Linked DNA regions of Daphnia pulex. The protein of the gene in region 2 purifies or fractionates together with the protein of the main gene of each other region. This does not show direct contact. Links are inferred from orthologs where the notes say so. Each region holds a gene or a part of one and is shown on either strand. Other genes may lie near its edges. The genes, in order: probable RNA methyltransferase Y17G7B.18 and squamous cell carcinoma antigen recognized by T-cells 3-like.

Region 1 (4,360 bases), on a different chromosome or scaffold from region 2:
GGTTGTGGAACTACAGGGCTAACAATTTTGTCTTCCGGCCTTCTGCAATGTCTAATTGGTTCAGGTTTCAGCTTTAGATCCTTGAATTCTCTTACAGCAGGTTCTGGCTTTGTTTCGATTGTCGCATGACTTTCAGTCAACTCAACAGCGACTTGCTTGACTACAGGGAGATCCAATGTGAGCGTGCTCAATTCGGGTGAATGTCGTCCAGCATCCAGTACTTCACTGGCGCTATTGGTCCTCCTTCTTTTACGGTTTCGTCCTCTCTTTTTTCTAGAGACGGCATTCGGAGATATTAACGCTCTTTCCGCTAAATTATCATCTGGCATACTCAGGTTTAAAGGATCCCTTATATTTGATGGAATTAATACTTCAATTTCTTCCTTCCTGTGTTTAGGGGTTGGTAACGGAGAGGATTCTGGGGTATGCTCATTCAAAGCTTTGTTGATTCTTTCATCTGCTAGACTGCCCAAGTTCAACGGGTCTCGACTATTGCCTCCAAGTAGAAATTTTGTTGGTCTCACAAATTCTTCCTTGCGTCTTCTCTTGAAGTGATGTTGCTTGCTTTCAAATGAAAGACTGAGACTTCTTTTGCGCTGACTGCCTGTTACTGGTTTCACCATTTTTTTGGGACTGACAAAATGTGGAATAGCTTCTACAGGTCTGTCATCCCCTTCTGCAGGAAAATGCACCCGCTTCATTTGTCCAATACTGAGAGAGACTACTTGGGTTGATGCCATGATGTTTCATTAAATTTGCTTCAGCAATCTGTAAAAAGAAAACAGCTTTACAATACACACATCTCTCTGCTTAAACATTGACACACTAAAACATTGCAATTTTAGAAGTTTTTAATGCAAATTCTAAATAATTTTCAAATTTAAATAAATCCACACGCTGTGCAGCATCTAGCGGTCACGCCAGAAACCTCACATCATAAACGTATTTTATAAACAAAGAAAATTAACTATAACCTACTTTTTTGGCTCCAATACAATTGGAAAGGATGAGTTATTACCTAGAATTAAAATTGAGTTGGCAAAAGTGATGATTTGTGTTCCAATTTCTGGACAAGGTGTATCCTGAGCAACCTTGTCTATTCGACGTTCTGATGCTTCTGCTCCTTTCTTTGCGTTCAGTCCCCATACCCCAGTAATAAATACATCCCCTCTCTCATAGCAGCGTTGCACAATTGGCAAAAAAAAGCACTGAGCATTACATGTGTACCTAGTTTAAGAGAAACTGAATTTGCGGTTGATCGAGAATTAATTGCAGTCAGGTTATGCGCTTATGGAAATCCAATATTATTGAAAAATTCTATAGCTTAGTAATAGATAAAAATTAGACGTGCATTTATTATGTACATCAAAAACTAAAAGTGACGGATAACGTAAAAAACTATTCGTTAAAACTTCATAAAGTTGTAAGACATTAAAAAAAATTTAATCCATATTATAGTGCAATTTAAAAATACTTCAATTTCAAGCCATGTCGACGAACATGATGAATGATTTTATTTCCTCCTATTTGACTTAATTATGTGTTAAATTGTGAATCTGTTACTACTCAATATATTTTGTTGTATCTTATAAACTCGGTTAGGTTACTGTAACATTTCTAGGTGTACTTCCTATAATCGAATTCAAAATTTTTACTAAATTTCTGTTTCTGTCATGCAGGGAGAAAGTGACATCTCCTACGTATGCAATTACTAATAATTACGCATGCATCTGTTAAGACTTAAGAATGTAAAAACGAGTTATCCAAGTTTATTAAGAATGTAAATAATCTTGCCATCATGTGATTCGTAATCATATATAATCCAATCATATATTGGAGATCTAAATTTTCCAGAATTCGATTCAGCCATTCAGGTACTCAATAAAAACGTTTTGTTAACGTTTCGTTCCACGCCATCTAGTTTCGGTGTATGATACTATGATCACTCCATCGTTTTCGTATAGATGGCGAAATTTTTAGTTTTAAGTATAAAGGTGCAATTTGCAGCAGCTCAGCAAGAGGATTAATGCGGCACGAATAAAAGAATCGTCTCTTGTCGCATTCGTAGGACAGGTATACACGTAACATCTTTCCATTCCTCTAAAAGTTATCTCACAACTTAATTCCAAATAAAAATTGCTTTATTGAATTGCTGATCTTTTTTGATAATTTGATTATGTTCATGTTTGTTAATTGTTGTAGAAAGCCGCAAGCATGAGCGTACATAACACCGCAGCACCGTTGTGCATTGTTGCATGATTTGCTTTATCCTATTATGAATTGAAATAATTCTGCCGTGATGGTTCTTACCACCTACTTTGGCTACCGTGTCAAGTAAGTTTCACATCAAAATAAATTTGAATTTCATATTTGCCAATGTACGCACAAGTCTTACATCAAATAGGTTTGTCACATTTGTTCGTGGGCTGAGTTAAATTGGTCACTGATTGCATCTATCAGTTGGTCATAGATCTTATAATTCTTCCTCGACAGAAATTAATTATAGCAATCTGAAAATCTGGTCGGAGTAGGGAGAGGCCGATAGGGATCTAAAAGGGAATATAAGAAATCAATAGATGGCGTGGCTCATGAAGTAAAATGCCACAACTTGTCGACTGCCTGCGTGTTTGTTATACACATATTACGAATATACGTCACACAATCACACCACGTACACGACATCTATCTACCCATTCTCTTCCCCCTATTTCGGCGTTCGGCATACTGGCTTCACCCTTATAGTAATAGCTAAACAATGTTAACTGTAGATGTTTAAAATCATTCTCTTGATTATTTATCTCTTGATTCTCCCTTTCAATATTTAACCTAAAATTTCTCAGTGTTATAATTAATTAGTTAATCTTTATAATGCGGTAATTCTTTGTGAGCATTGATAGCGCCACAGGCTATATGTTAACTTATAACTAGCGCCAGCGGGAAAAGGTTGCAAATTTGAAGCACATAATGAAATTAGCTTTCACCCTACAAAATCTTTGCTTATGTACTTACGGTTTGGTAGACCCTATATCTTGAAATGATATTTAGGATATGATAGTGACATGGAATTGGCTTCATGGAGAAAAAGCAGTAGGCTACCGTCGAGCGTAGACGAAACAAGAATAAATTCACATGCTCAAATGTTGAGACATACATGATTAAAATGGTCATCTTATAACATAAAAAATTGAGGTCAATGATATGTAACACAGTGCATCTGAATCTGATATCGTGTTCGATGCAGAATCACATTACCAATTTTATCTATTTGCCCGTCTCATTTCCACTGATTTTACTTAATTTTAGTCGAGTTTTTCCGTTTGAAACATATTATTTATTCCCAGGTTCGCAGCTAAAAAAATGCCAATGCTCTTGCTATTTAACACCCTTAACTATTTTCCTCTTCGAACTCCATCTGATGATAATAACTCATTTCCTTTCTGTTCCTTCAAGTGTTATGAGTTTACCAGAACACCAGCGGAGGCAACGAACTCATTTCTAGAATAAGCTACTGTCAGTACCGCTAATAGAGACACGCGTGTCTCTATTCTATCTGATAGATTTTATTTATTATTTTTTAAAATTCCAAATCTCTAGTTTTGTTATCAAGTTTATTGCGATATTTAACAAGTAATTCAGAGTGTTAGCTATTAAATCAAATTAATTGAAACCATTGGGAACATTTTTTCAAAGCGAAATTTTTTTCAAAGCGACGATCATTTTGCAGTCGTTCAATCAGTGCAAGCAACGCGTTGCCTCCGGGTTGGATATTGCTTCCAACCAGAAATCACGCTCATCCAAAAATTTAAAAAACAAAAACAAAACAGTGTTGATCTTTGATTCCGTAATTGGAGATGGACAAACGAGACGAACGAGACACAAAAGCATTCAATACGAGACAAGTTATTGCCAACTTATTTATGCTGCTGCAACCGTTGGATGTGTTTGTCACCAAAAATGGTTTCATTAAACAGCCTTATTCAGCCACAGATTCTTGCAGTCACTTTGTGCTGATAGAATACGTAGTATATGCTGATTATAAGGCATAAATGCAATAATTTGTGTAGTAAAACTAATAAAACTCTTCACAGTTTTCCATTTCCTTTTCTTGACCGCAGTCGAGATTCTTATACTGTAAATGTGCGCACATCAACTCGAAGAGGGAAGAAGACTCCAACGCTATGGCTGCTGGCTTGCCTATCTCGATAGATCTAAATAGAGAAAGTATCCTGACAGATACAAACGACGTTACTTTGACGCTCAAAACGATACGCATCGAGTTTTTTCCCTATATATTTCTTTTGTTTTCGAATTTTCAAATAAGGCCCTGTTTTTATTCTACCTTTTTTCTTCTTTCTTTTAA
Region 2 (4,381 bases):
AATTATTAATTATCAGAAAATCTTTATCATATCTTATCAGCCCACAGAACTCAATAGCAAATGCAATCAATTTAAGTTATTCAAAATAATATATAGGGGTAGTGCACATACCAAATATCGAAAATAACATGCTTACTTGAGACGGATATTGGTGCAATAGGCCAAAAGGAGAATTGCAATAAAAATTTTACAGTTATGGTTGATCATCTTTACTAGAAGTTAAAGTCAATTGGCGATGTTATCTGACGGCTCGTTTAGATGAAGTTGGCACTGTGACAACGAACCAAGGAGGCCATCAAGTGAAGAAATGTGCCTCCTTAAATGTCTCTTTAAAGTAATGCGCGAGGTAAACAATTTTCCACAGATGCTACAAGTCAGCTGCTCGGAATGATGAATTCCAAGATGACTTCTTAACTCTGTTTTTGCATTAAATGTCTCTTTACAAATAGAGCACTTGAGGGCTTTTACTGCAACAGCAGATTTTGAATTATTAGATGATTCTGCCGTAAAGAAAATAGACAAATTTGTGATCACTATACAGACTGGTAATACAATTTTATTTTTGTACCTGGAATTGGCTCTAAAATAATCTTCTTTTCAGTGTGTGTAGAGCACTGGGAGATTTGCCTTTTCCTTTTAGAATTGATTTCTGAAGAAACTGTGTTTTTGGTCAAATTTTCATTTGAATCATCTGTTTTTGTGGGAAGAGATTCTTGAACATTTTCATAAATTATTTGAAGATCTTCATCTTCATTTGAGCTTGAATCAGAATCACATTCAATTTCATGCGACTGCAGCTTTTGCAGCTGTTCCTCAACCTTTCTCTTTTCTAATATTTCCACTTGGAATTGTTCTTTCCCATGTAATTTTACAAGACCTTTGACTTGAAGTTCTTTGGCATATGTGGACACTGTCACCAAGTCGACTGATGATCCTTCAGCAATCCCATTGTAAAGGTAATTAACCAAGCAGACCATAGGTTTATAACTATTGAATGGTAAAAGATAAAAATGGTTATTTTTTAATAAGTTTCAAATGGGAATGACTATTACCTGAATCCTTCAAGGAAAATGACAGGCTCAACATGGGAATCACAACCCAATAGCAACTGGCTAAACAAAGGGCTAAGCGAAGCGAGAACAGAACGATTAACCAAAATTTTTTTTCCTTCACAAATTAAAGTTACATCTGCGTGACATTGATTTTTATACATGGCCAACAAATTCCGAGTCCACAGATCGTCCAGAGATTTAAAATTCGTCTTGTTTTCCATTTCTTTGTTTAAGAGTCAACCAAGTCTAAAAATCACTGGAAATATATTTCTTCAACTCTTTAAAAAAGCTAAATAAAGTATATTTCGAATTTCGTTGAGCGATCGTCTTGGATGTGTTGTTTTCAACAGTCAATCAAATCAATTAATGTTAAGCAGAATAGCAGATGTGATTCATGTGAAGATTTAAGTCTTCTGCTTGATAGTTCATTCATCTGCCGCTAGGCTGTGCGTGCCGAATACGAACAACATCGATGTAATGTTGTGTTGTCTTTGAAATTAACCCAACAACCCCAAAACTCGATCTCGAATTATTAAAGAATTATACAGTACAAGTGCTTCTATTTATACACATACACAAAAAGAGCTTCATGATGGATGTCCAGCAAGGTTTTGCTGAGGAAGATGAGACTGAAGAAATGAGTTTTGAAGGCAATGACAACCCTAATGGGTCAGGCAGCTCTGATTCTGATGATTCAGAAAAAGAAAGGGAAGAGCATTATGTTCTCGAGAGAAGAATTGTTGAACTAAGAAAAGAAGTAAGTGTTTTCCCATGTTTGTGAATTTTTTGGTTCAATTTTTAAAAAAATTGTATGTTTTTAGCTCGCAAAATCTCCAAATGCCTACAACACACATGTTGAACTGATTAGTTCTCTACAAAAACTTGGGGAACTAGATCAGTTGAGATATGCCAGAGAATCTATGCATGCCATTTATCCTCTGACTGAAGGTAAGATTTAATAAACAATTTAGATAATTTTTTTTTTACATTCCTTATTCTCTTATTTAGAACTATGGCTTGACTGGCTAAGAGATGAAATTAAACTTGGATTAACAGATGAAGACAAAAAGAAAATTGAATTGCTGTTTCAAAGGGCAACAGAGGACTACTTAAGTATATAAAAATATAAATTTTCAACTTTTCAAAATATAAATATTATCATTTTCAGATATTGATATTTGGGTGGAATACATCCAATTTTGTCTTGCTGGAATGGATATTGGAGGTGTTGAAGCATTGAAAAAAATTAGAGCAGTTATGGAAGAAGCCATTCGACATGGAGGACTTCATGTTGTAAAGGGGGCTTTGCTGTGGGATTCTTATCGCGATTTTGAAATGGCGATATATCAAACAACTAAAGGTGGAAGTGAAACTGAGAAGACCAGTCAAGCCCAAAAAATCACGCATTTGTTCAACCGTCAACTCTCCGTTCCCTTGCTGGATATGGTAAATTTCTTAAATATCGTAGATTTGTTCTTCTTACTGAAGTCTTATTTTCAGGAGCGAACTTGGACAGAATACAATGAGTGGCTTCAGATTTTGGATCAGAAAATTGAACCACATGTCAAAGCCACTTATGACAAAGCAAAGGGACAAATGGAAAAGATAGCACCCATAGAAGACACCCTGATAATCGCTGTTGAAAACGACCACAAGGTTGCAGCTTACCGTACGTATTTGGATCTCGAGATGAATGAATTTAAAGATCCTGCTCGCATTCAAGCACTTTTCGAGCGTATTGTTGCCGAGATGCCGCTGTATGACTCATTCTGGAACGATTATTGCAAGTTCGTCGATCATCAATTCAAAGCCGCAGAAACCACTTTTGCCATTTTTAAACGAGCAATCCGCAACTGTCCGTGGAACGGACCCATCTGGTCTGAGTACATCTTGGCTGCCGAGCGCTACAAAAAAGAGGATGGATTCATTGCAGGTAGATAAATAGCGAATTATAATAACCATTCATATTGTTTTTTACGTTAATAATTCAAGGGTTTACTCAACAGGTTTAGTAGAGAAGGCTTTCAATGCGGGACTAGCAACAGCGGCCGATTTGCTGTCCGTCTGGATGAGTTTCATTGAATACCTTGTACGAAAATGCACATGGGGTGACAGTGACAATGAGAACATCGTTCAACTTCGTGAAGCTTTTACACGAGCGACCGAACATTTAGATCAAAGTAAGTTTTTCTAAGACCAATGAAATCGCCAATATAAAAACTATAACTTTTTTGTTTTGTAGCTTATGATGTCGAAGGAGACCCGGAGTGTACACTGCTACAATATTGGGCATATTTCGAAGCAAAAAAGCTGAATAATATGCCTAAAGCTCGAGACCTCTGGAGCAAGATTATAAGCCGGGGACACAGTAAATCTGCTCAGTGGTGGCTGGCTCGTGTTCAGTTTGAAAGGTTATTGATCTAATTAGTTAATTCTATTAGAGTTATATTAACACAATGCTTATTATAACAGAACACACGATAACAATAAAGAAGAAGTCCGCAAATTATTTACGAAGAGTCTAAATGGAGTCTCTTCGTCCGATTGGCCAGAGTTGATCGTTAAGCAATGGCTGCAATTTGAACGCGAAGAAGGAGACTTACAAACCATGGATATCGCTAAACAGAGGTCTGAAAAATAATTTAAAGCTTTTGAAAATTTTGATTTTAATTGTTTAAATATGCCAGGTGTGAAGCTCGGATGAAGAAGGTTAATAAAGAAAGAGAGGGGCAAACGGTTCAAGAAGTAGAAACGGCTAAAGGTAGGAAACGAGGAAAGATTGAAGATGCGAAAGAATCGAAACCCGTGCCTGCCAAAAAACCTAAAATAAGCCATGATGCCGCAGCAACTAGTACGAAAGTTGTTCCCAAAAAGAAAGTTGAACCTAAAGTAAACGCCACCGAACCTGCTAGCAAGCCCGTTGTCATTCCTAAACCGGTTACCGATCCTTCCCGTCATGCCAATACGGTCTTTTTAAGCAATCTGGCCTACGAAACATCTGAACAAGATGTACGCAACATGATGAGTTCTTCCGGCACCATAACGGACATACGTCTTGTTCTGGACTACAAACAACGTTGCAAAGGATTTTGTTTTGTCGAATTTTCTTCACAAGTAAACTTCCATAATTAAATTTCCTACGCTTGTCCGTTAAATTCATTTAAAACTATCTTAGGATGAAGCGAGAGCAGTTCTGAAGCGGGACCGTGAGCTCATGAAAGGACGACCGGTTTTCATGTCTCCAAGCGAACCGGACGCAGCATTGAAGCATCCAGCTTTCAAGTACCAGTCAACATTAGAAAAGAAAAAACTGTTTATCAAAGGTACGT

Evidence for each region.
Region 1: the proteins of squamous cell carcinoma antigen recognized by T-cells 3-like (region 2) and probable RNA methyltransferase Y17G7B.18 purify together in Homo sapiens (affinity purification with mass spectrometry; 6 studies listed by BioGRID and IntAct, counting the BioPlex papers as one, with this or other methods). This does not show direct contact. The link is inferred for Daphnia pulex from reciprocal best matches to the Homo sapiens genes SART3 and MEPCE.

The regions. Positions count from the first base shown.
Region 1 is NC_060021.1:10,084,341-10,088,700, reverse strand, and holds the start of probable RNA methyltransferase Y17G7B.18, read right to left. Parts: upstream 3,117-4,360; 5' UTR 3,010-3,116; intron 1,299-3,009; exon of another isoform or gene 1,228-1,298; 5' UTR 1,019-1,227; exon of another isoform or gene 979-1,018; intron 769-978; 5' UTR 741-768; coding exon 1-740. UniProt on the Homo sapiens protein: S-adenosyl-L-methionine-dependent methyltransferase that adds a methylphosphate cap at the 5'-end of 7SK snRNA (7SK RNA), leading to stabilize it.
Region 2 is NC_060026.1:14,703,154-14,707,534, reverse strand, and holds the start of squamous cell carcinoma antigen recognized by T-cells 3-like, read left to right. Parts: upstream 1-1,479; 5' UTR 1,480-1,641; coding exon 1,642-1,809; intron 1,810-1,873; coding exon 1,874-2,000; intron 2,001-2,060; coding exon 2,061-2,165; intron 2,166-2,220; coding exon 2,221-2,498; intron 2,499-2,552; coding exon 2,553-2,985; intron 2,986-3,058; coding exon 3,059-3,232; intron 3,233-3,294; coding exon 3,295-3,463; intron 3,464-3,524; coding exon 3,525-3,680; intron 3,681-3,739; coding exon 3,740-4,166; intron 4,167-4,227; coding exon 4,228-4,375; intron 4,376-4,381. Other genes in the region: zinc finger and BTB domain-containing protein 18-like, read right to left, coding at 226-500, 569-987, 1,053-1,273. UniProt on the Homo sapiens protein: U6 snRNP-binding protein that functions as a recycling factor of the splicing machinery. Promotes the initial reassembly of U4 and U6 snRNPs following their ejection from the spliceosome during its maturation.